2 linked regions of the Coturnix japonica genome follow. The protein of the gene in region 2 interacts with the protein of the main gene of each other region in a biochemical or structural test. Links are inferred from orthologs where the notes say so. Each region holds a gene or a part of one and is shown on either strand. Other genes may lie near its edges. The genes, in order: MAP1LC3A and ATG7.

Region 1 (4,595 bases), on a different chromosome or scaffold from region 2:
AACAGTAACTCAGAGATGGGCTTGAAAAGCATTTGTGCTCTGTGGCTTTGAGCTGCTTTGTGTTACAACTGGAGAATGGCCTCACTTTCTGTCTTTGAGAAATTGATCCCTTTCTGAAGGCAAAGGAAACACCTGCTGCGAAGTCAGAGCAAACAAACCCTGATGCATTAAGAGGCTGATGAGGGGGGTTTGAAGTATGGCTCAGGGCTGCAAGCAGCAGCACTTGTAGCCCAAGATCTCTTTGTCCAGCTGAGATAAGGCCGTGGCAGAGGAATGGAGGTGACAGCACTTAAGAGATCGCAAAAGATAGACTTGTGGAAACATCTGTTCATCTTCAGACACGTCTTTCAGCTGCTATGGGCAGCAGCTATTTGTCTGCCTGAGATGGCTGAGCAGCACTCCTTTCACACACAGGAGCTTTATTTACCTTGTCTTAAAGCTTTTGCTGTGCATTGCTATGTCTGTAGGGAATGAAAGCAAGGCCTACAGCAGGCCAAGCTGGCTGTGTGTTAGCAGAGTGCCCCGACCTGCACAGGCTGCATGCAGAGCTGTGGTGTGCGGGGGCTGCAGGGCACTGAGCTCTGACAGCACCAACACTGCAGGAGTCTGAGCGTCATCAGGTCTGTGTTGACAGTAATACACTACTTCAGCAGCACAACAGCATTCCTCGGGGAGGCTCCAAGCTGTCACAAACATGCAGGGTGCTCATTACCAGCAGTGCTCACCCTGCTGGAATGCTGGCATTGTAAAGCTGGCTGTTGATCGTGGGTTGCTATAGGGCTGCTTGCTGCTGCTGGGTTGGTCTGTCTACCTGTTCCTCGTCAAAAGTGGGTTAGTGCTTAACAACAGTAACAAATTCAGTGAGCCTGCAGTCTGCAATGTCAGTCCATCTGCCTTATCTCAGTCAGTACCGCAACTTCTTTCCCTTCTGCATTTTTGGATGGCCAGGACCCTTTTGATCATCAGAGCACTTTTAAAAGATGCAGTGGGAGCCTTTCTGTCCCTTTGAAGCAGGGATGTACTCAATGTCTGCCCACCATGGGGGGTTGTTTTGGAGCACAGCGCTCATTGCAGCGTGCCTTCACGGGGACATGCAGTGTGGCTCTCTGCAAAACACCGTCACCGTTTGCAGCTGGGTTTGATTCGTTCACGGCTCTAGAAATAGCCCGCTCTATTTGTAGCCGTGATTTGCTCTGCAAGGTATGCGGGCTGTGTGTGCAGCGGGGGGAGACGGGCTGCTCCGGGGCGTGCGGGGCAGTAAGAGGAGGGGACGGGGACTGAGTACATGGGCAGAGCGGGGGACGGGGGCGGCTTTAACTAGAACAGGGAAGATTCAGGTCGGATGAGCGGAGGGAATCCTACACCCGCAGGCGGTGCGGCCCCGGCCCTGGGCAGCCCGGGCTGGGGGAGCGGCTCAGGTGCGCACGGAGCAGCGCTCAGCGATGTGCTGCGGGAGGGGAAAGCGGCTCTTGGGGTGTGAGCGGGGCCCGAAAGGCCGCGATTGAAAACGGGATCGATGACTCGGCGCTCATCGCACCGGGCGGCACCGCCCCACGGACACGTCACGTGACACGTCACGGCCCTCCGCCCGCCCCGGTGACGTCACCGCCCGCTCCGCCGCAGCCGCCACACGGAGCCGCCGCCGGCACCTGCGACCCGGCCCGGCCGCCGCCGCCGCCGCCAACACCACCGCCATGCCCTCGGAACGGCCCTTCAAGCAGCGCCGCACCTTCGGTGAGCGGACGGCGGGGCGATGTGCGCGGGAGCTGCGTGCGCAGCGATCGGGGGGCGAGGATGGGGCCGCGCGGTGCCGCGGGGCGGGCGGTGCCCTCCGGCCGGGCTATACCGGGCTGTGCGGGGCTGTACGGGGCTGTGCGGGGCTGTACGGGGCTGTACGGAGCTGTACGGGGCTGTGCGGAGCTGTACGGAGCTGTACGGAGCTGTGCGGGGCTGTACGGAGCTGTACCGGGCTGTGCCGGGCTGTACGGGGCTGTACCGGGCTGTACCGGGCTGTACGGGGCTGTACCGGGCTGTACCGGGCTGTACGGGGCTGTACCGGGTTGTACCGGCGGCCCTCGGGCTCCTTGTCCTCCTCCCGCAGCCCGAACGCACCCGCGTAGCGCGGCGGTCCCCCCCCACCCCCCGTTTCTTATTGTGGCACCGCCCGGAGCCGCGACCCCTTCGCCCCGCTGTGGCGGCGGGCTGAGCCCCTTCGGCTGCGGGTGGGCGGCCGAACCTTCGCGCACCGCCCGGTGCCCCCGCCCGGCTGGGGGTCGCTGTGCCGAGGACCCCGCGCTCCGCACCCTGTGCTGCCGGGCCCGGCGGGTTCCGCGCTCGCGTGGAAACATCGTTGTGCTGAATGTGGGCGGTGGGCGATGTGACCGTACGGGGCGATGTGACCGTACGGGGCGATGTGACCGTACGGGTCGGTGTTACCGTACGGGGCAATGTTACCGTACGGGGCAGTGTTACCGTACGGGCAGTGTTACCGTACGGGGCAGTGTTACCGTACGGGTCAGTGTTACCGTACGGGTCAGTGTTACCGTACGGGGCAGTGTTACCGTACGGGGCAGTGTTACCGTACGGGGCAGTGTTACCGTACGGGGCAGTGTTACCGTACGGGCAGTGTTACCGTACGGGGCAGTGTTACCGCACGGGGCGATGTTACCGTACGGGTCAGTGTTACCGCACGGGGCGCCGCGTCGTGCCTTGCCCGGCAGAGCGGCAGCTGCTGCTCCCCCTGACCTTTGCCGGCCGAACCCCGCGGCCACACGGCGCTTGGCTGGAGTTTTCTATTAAAAGCAGCAGAATCCCGAGTGCCGCCCGTATCTCTGCCCGCTGCTCCGCCGTGGCAGCCGGCATCGCGGGCGGGAGGAGCCGGCTTTGCCTTTGCACGTTGCTCAGGCTGGAGGAAAACAAAAGTCGAGGCTCGGAGTGACCGAAGGAGAGCGGGACTGAAATAGCGCAGGAGGGAAAGGGGGGGAGACGGAGTCGGGTGCTGTGTGACCGCGGGTGTCTGCGCCGTCCTGTGCCCTTTGGCTCCCGGCTGATGTGCAGAGCTCAGCGGGACGAGGAGGAAGAGGAGGCGGCCCGGCGCCCGCTCGGCTGCTTTGGGTCGGGGCTGGGATCGCTCCGCTGGAGAAAGTAAACAGCGCTTGTTTTCGTCTTCAGCTCGTTGCACAACGGGAGCAGGAAGCGATTGTTGACAGTGCCGCTGGAGACGGACGATGGAAAATATTTCCAGTGACACTGCACCCTCAGAACGGCGCTGTTTGTAAGGCCGCAGAGCTGGAGAGAAGTGGAACGGCTCCAAAAGAACAGAACAGGCAGAGTCAGAGTGTGGCTGTTTACAAGAGCCGCCCAAGGCTCCGGTGTCACGGCACGTGGCTCGGTGAGGCCTTGGCCCGCTGCCCCGTGCTGACGCTCTGCTGTGCTTTGTGCCCATTTTCCCCCTTCTTGTAGTGTTGAGGTTTGTTTTTCTATGGGGTTTCTTCTGTTTGCCCATCTGCTTTGTCTCAGGTCTGTTCTGAATACATTTTATGGAGCTCAGTGTGATGCTGTTGAGGACTTAAGTCCAACGCTGGGGCATGCGGCGTCCCCCTGGTGTCTGATGCACATCAGAGGGGGCTCTGCTGGGGTTGTGCTCCCCGCTGTGGCTGTGGCTGTATCTTTGGGCTGGGGGTGAGATCTGATGGAGCCCCTCAGCTGCCACGTGCAAACCTGCCTGTGAATGCTGAGGGAGCTGCGTTCTGCTTAGTCAGATCCATGGTAGGAGTCCAGACCAATTCCCAGAGTGAAGCTGTGCTCTGTGTCAGAGGAGCAGGCTGTCCTGGCTGCAGCCATGTGTGCAACCTGCTGACCCTGCGCTGCTTCCTGTGAAAGGTGCATCTTTGGGCTGGATGCTCCCATCCCAGGTGCAGTTTTCTGTGCCTTCAGTTCTGGCAGTGCACTTCTCATGTGGAAAAGGCAGCAGTCGGTAAGAGCAGCACATAGAACTGAAGAGTGGCCTTCACCAGGTGGCAGCAGGGTGAGGAAGGGGATTGTCCCCCTGTGATCAGCTCCTGTGAGACCCCACCTTGGTTTTGCATCCAGCCCTGGGGCTGCTGGCACAGGAAGGACGTGGAGCTGCTGCAGGAGGTCCAGAGGAGGACACAAAGGTGCTCAGAGGGCTGGAGCATCTCTGCTATGGAGTCTGGCTGAGGGAGCTGGGAGTGTTCTGCCTGAAGGAGGGAAAGCTGCGGGGAGACCTCATTGCAGCCTTGCAATGTTTAAAGGGAGATTATAAACAGGAGGAAAATCAACTTTTTACACATGTAGATGGTGATAGAACGAGGGGAAACAGCTTTAAACTAGAGGGAAGATTCAGATTAGATGTCAAGGGGAAGATTTTCACTGAGAGGGCAGTGCAGCCCTGGCACTGCTGCTCAGAGCTGGGGGTTTTCTGTTCCTGGAGGTGCCTACAGCCATGGATGGGGCCCTGGGCAACCTTATCAAATGGTTGGCAGCCCTGCCCATGGCAAGGGGGCTGGAACGACATGATCTTTGAGGTCCCTTTCAACCCAAACCATTCAGTGACTCTGTAACTCACCAGGTGT
Region 2 (4,235 bases):
GATACACATGAAAACCCTGTTACCTACAGACAGCAGGCAGCCAATAAAGCTAACTGAAGGAATCAAACACTGGTCAAAGTGTAAGATCTCAAAAATAAAAAGGCTGCCTTTGTTAGACTTGCCTTTCTCCCTAAACCATGACATTTAAATTAGTTGGTTACAGTACAAGCAGATAAGCCCCTTCCTTTGGCTGCCACTTTTCTCTTGCTTTATCTCAAATTTCTGTTTCCCATCACTTTGTCACATGGATAGATGGACTGCAGTAATTCAGTTTAAAATAAACACTTCCTGATTTCTGGATGTTGTATCAAATTATAAACATGATCTATAGGATGCAAGTCACTGGCAGCTCCAGTAACCACTGAATTTAAAACATGGCTTTGTAGCACCCTGAAAAAAAAGATCCCCAAGCATAATCATCAACTTGCTAATCTCTTGCAAAGAGCAATAAAAAAGCAAATATTAAACTTCCCTCACCATAATAAGTTAAATAAAACTGTATGGGCGAGTTTGGGCAGTCACTAATATTTGGATCAGAGACTATAAAACAATCTGCTGGCTATTTTCAAACCATCTCTTTAAAAGTGATCAAACAGATCAGCACAGTGGAATACTGATACAGCAGGTGTAATGACAAAGGGACCAGCATGAATAGCAATGCATTACAAAGGAAAAGTGCTCACCCATCTCTGAAGATCTGGGCTCACAAGGAAAGGATCTCCAACCAGAGATTCTTGCCCATGGGCAGTCAGCCGTTCAACAAGGTCTTAAATAGGTGCAGCCAGGCTCCACCTGGCTCTTCCTATCACACAGCTGAATTGCCTTCACCTGTGCTCCCAGGGCTGATCAGATCCTTTCCCCAGGTGCTCAATTAGTGGTTCAGGCCATGACTGAACAGTTACCATTCAACCAGCTGATTTGATTTTAAACCTTACCTCATTTGCTTCTTTTTCCAAAAGTGATTTTTTATCACAGGACTTGAAAGTCTCAAAAGTGTTGGTATTATGCAACGTTCCAAAAGCAGGACAGCAACGTGCTGGTATTGAAGCATTCCTGAATTAAGAAAAAAACAAGAGAACACTGGGAATTGTGTACTAACATCTTCAACAGGATCAGTACTAGCAGCAATTGCTCTCCTATGGGGTAAAATTGTCCAGAAACTGAAAAACAATGAGGCATAGTAATAGAAGCTAGTGAGAGCTATCCTGAAAACATGATCATACTGCTTTATTAAAAAATTTCAGTCAAAGGTTAAATACTACTTTCAAAAATATTGCAACGTAACAACCAGAGGTTGTAAAAGCTATTTTGAGATCTTCATTCTAAGGAAGAATATTTAGTTTATAAAGATATTAAGAAAGCTTTAATCAGAAATAATAACTGAAATAATTATTTATACAAAAGAGCCTATGAAATGTGAGAAAAGAGTATTATATAAACACATATAAACAGTAAGTGAAACTGAGACTTGTCAGTGTATTTTAAGCTTGGCCCTTCAGATGAATACGCTGCTTCAAAAACAGGTTAGTACTGAGTCACAAAACACTCACTGCAGTTATAAAGTTCATGAGAATGTGAATTGATCTTTCACAGATTTTTTCCAAGTGATACTCTCTCACCAAGTTACTGTTATGCAAGGAAAGTTTCTCCATATATAAATTAAGGTAAACCATAATACATACTTACATATCAAAAGCACTAAATTCCAACGTCAAACGAGCTGGGAAACCTGATGGATCGCCTGGCCAAAAAACAAAAAGCAACATGCATCTTTTAAACTACAATACATGTATTCTAAAATTAGAGAAACTAATCTAGGGTTATAAGACACCCACAGACACACCAGAATTCCCATCTCATTCAGCAGCGCTCCTAATCCTAGCAATGTTTCAGCAAAATACCTGAAACATGTTAAATGAATATTTAGAGGAACAAGCCAAAGTGCAAAGAAAGATGTTCAGTTTCTACCTACCATTGTAGTAGTATCCTTTGATAACTTTTGGAGTCTCATCTAGTCGGTACTCATTGAGCTTCTTCTGGGTTAGTTCATGCCAGAACCCTACGTTCAAGGCACTACTGAAGGGAGCAAACTGCAGCTTCGAACTTCCAGGATCCACAGCATGGTGGGGCTCATTACTGACTGCTGCCATGATTGTAGTTCACTATTAAACACACAAGCAAAGAGAATTCTATAAAAGCAGATGAGCTGTATAAGTACACACCCCAATGACCACATTATACATAACTACTTAAAGTTTCTTTTAAATACGTCTTGTTATGTGAAGTACAGAAAACCTCATTCCTCTGAAAATTTAAGGAACTTAATGCAATGAAAACACTTTTCACGGATTTTCTACGAGATTTTGGATAGGTTTGTTTTCCATCAATGACAAATATAAGGTTCTGTCACAATGTCTTGCTTTAACTGGCACACATGATATTACATCCTGCTTAACTTCACTTTATTTTTCCTTCCTTTTTAATTTTTAATAACAGGAATCTGCAGTATCATAATTTTTTTCCACAGCTTAAAAACACCTTGTATCACTTCTACCAACATAAAGAAACCTCTCCTTATTTCTAGGGATCACAGCAGTGTTGGGATGGAAGTGACCTCGCAGCCCCCATCTGTGGGCTGGCTGCCCCCAGCTCAGACTGCTCAGGGCCCGTCCAGAGCCTGGGGCAGCTCCAGGGATGGCACTCACAGCTCTGGGCAGCACAGCCAGCACCGCACAGCCCCGCAATGGGGACACCACCACAGCAGACGCCCTTCATGCCCCTCAGCCCCCGACCGCCCACGGCCGCTCACCGGCTCCACCGCGCAGCACTTCCGCCATTGCCGGCTGACGTGACGCGGTCACTTGACCGAGGAGGGCGGGAAGGGGAGTGCACTCACACGCCCGTCCTTTGGCTCCGCCTGAGGAGAGGGAACGTCAGTCAGCGCATTGCCCCCTTGTGGTTCTTTTCTGTGCCGTCCTGAGTGAAGTACACTCATCTTACGGCATTACTCGCGAAGTAATGAGGACTAAAAACCAGCCTCTCCTTCTCTGTGGTTGTGGCTGCTAGATCGAACCTGCGCGAGGATGCTCTGCGTTGAGTATGGTGCTATAGCAAAGTGTTATAGGTTGATCAAGCATGTTTAGTGAGCTAAAACTCTGCGGGTGATCATATAAATGCACGGTGGCTGAATGCTGGAGACATTCCTATCTTTATGTCAGCAAATGTCCTCGGCCTGTTTATGCTTCCCCATGACACTTGGTACCACAGCTGCTGCCAATATATGCAGTCCCTAACACAATATTTCTTTACCTTCAGTGTGACCTGGCATGAGAAGTAATCTGAACAAGACGTGGATTTAATGGGCGGTCAGCAGGATGTTTTAAAACCCAGCTTTTGGGCACAGAAAGCCATGCTCAACAGGTGAAAAAAAAACAAAAAACAAAAAAACAGCCACCAGCACGTTATGGGAGTTTTCCAAGCAGGCTGAGACCTGTGCTGGTAATGTTTAATACCCCTATCACCGGGCTGGATGAGGGAACCCTGCTCAGACCTCTGGATGACACCACAGCAGCTGAAATGGGCAGGACTGTGCTCCATAAGGAGCCTCAACACCCGGCTGTGTCTGAGAGGAGCCTCACCAAGGCCAGCAAAGCCACATCAAATGGGAAAGCTGTACCTGGAAGACACCCTGCACGTCACCTGCTGCATCACTGTAGGCTGGGGACTCCCTGGATGGCAGCTCTGCAGGGGTTAAATAATATGAGAATGAAACATAGACCAAATGGCACAATCCACTTCCAAACTGCAGCCCTTCTTTAATAAACTTGCAAGCTATATCATACTCAATACAGGATCCCACAATTCTTCTCATTTCCCACTAGATGTCCTTATTGGCACAAAGAAACATGGAAGGGTGAGTACACTTTTCTGCTTCTTAAAGTTGGCTGCTCTAACCACATCCTCAACAAAGTCGAATTTCAGTCCAAGAAATTCATTATGTTCACTTAAAAGTGTGAGTCCTCTGACCTTGTTTATTAACTGGGAAATGTTGAACATGTTTGCAGGAAACCACGCCTGAGGGCTTGGCCCCACATGGCAGTAGGTTTCTTCATTCCTTACCCTGATTTGCTATTCTCTGCTTCTTAGTAGAAGAAACCGATAAATCCTGCCACGTACTTTGCTAACTGGAAGCTTAAGACAGGAAGTCTCCAATTTTCCTGTTTTGTTATTACCGA

Evidence for each region.
Region 1: the proteins of ATG7 (region 2) and MAP1LC3A form a complex in vitro, tested with the Homo sapiens proteins (2 studies listed by BioGRID, with this or other methods). The link is inferred for Coturnix japonica from reciprocal best matches to the Homo sapiens genes ATG7 and MAP1LC3A.

The regions. Positions count from the first base shown.
Region 1 is NC_029535.1:1,283,061-1,287,655, reverse strand, and holds the start of MAP1LC3A (microtubule-associated proteins 1A/1B light chain 3A), read left to right. Parts: upstream 1-1,606; 5' UTR 1,607-1,694; coding exon 1,695-1,734; intron 1,735-4,595. UniProt on the Homo sapiens protein: Ubiquitin-like modifier involved in formation of autophagosomal vacuoles (autophagosomes). While LC3s are involved in elongation of the phagophore membrane, the GABARAP/GATE-16 subfamily is essential for a later stage in autophagosome maturation.
Region 2 is NC_029527.1:2,870,652-2,874,886, reverse strand, and holds the start of ATG7 (ubiquitin-like modifier-activating enzyme ATG7), read right to left. Parts: upstream 2,931-4,235; 5' UTR 2,810-2,930; intron 2,726-2,809; exon of another isoform or gene 2,706-2,725; intron 2,190-2,705; exon of another isoform or gene 2,163-2,189; 5' UTR 2,151-2,162; coding exon 1,973-2,150; intron 1,742-1,972; coding exon 1,687-1,741; intron 1,054-1,686; coding exon 936-1,053; intron 1-935. UniProt on the Homo sapiens protein: E1-like activating enzyme involved in the 2 ubiquitin-like systems required for cytoplasm to vacuole transport (Cvt) and autophagy.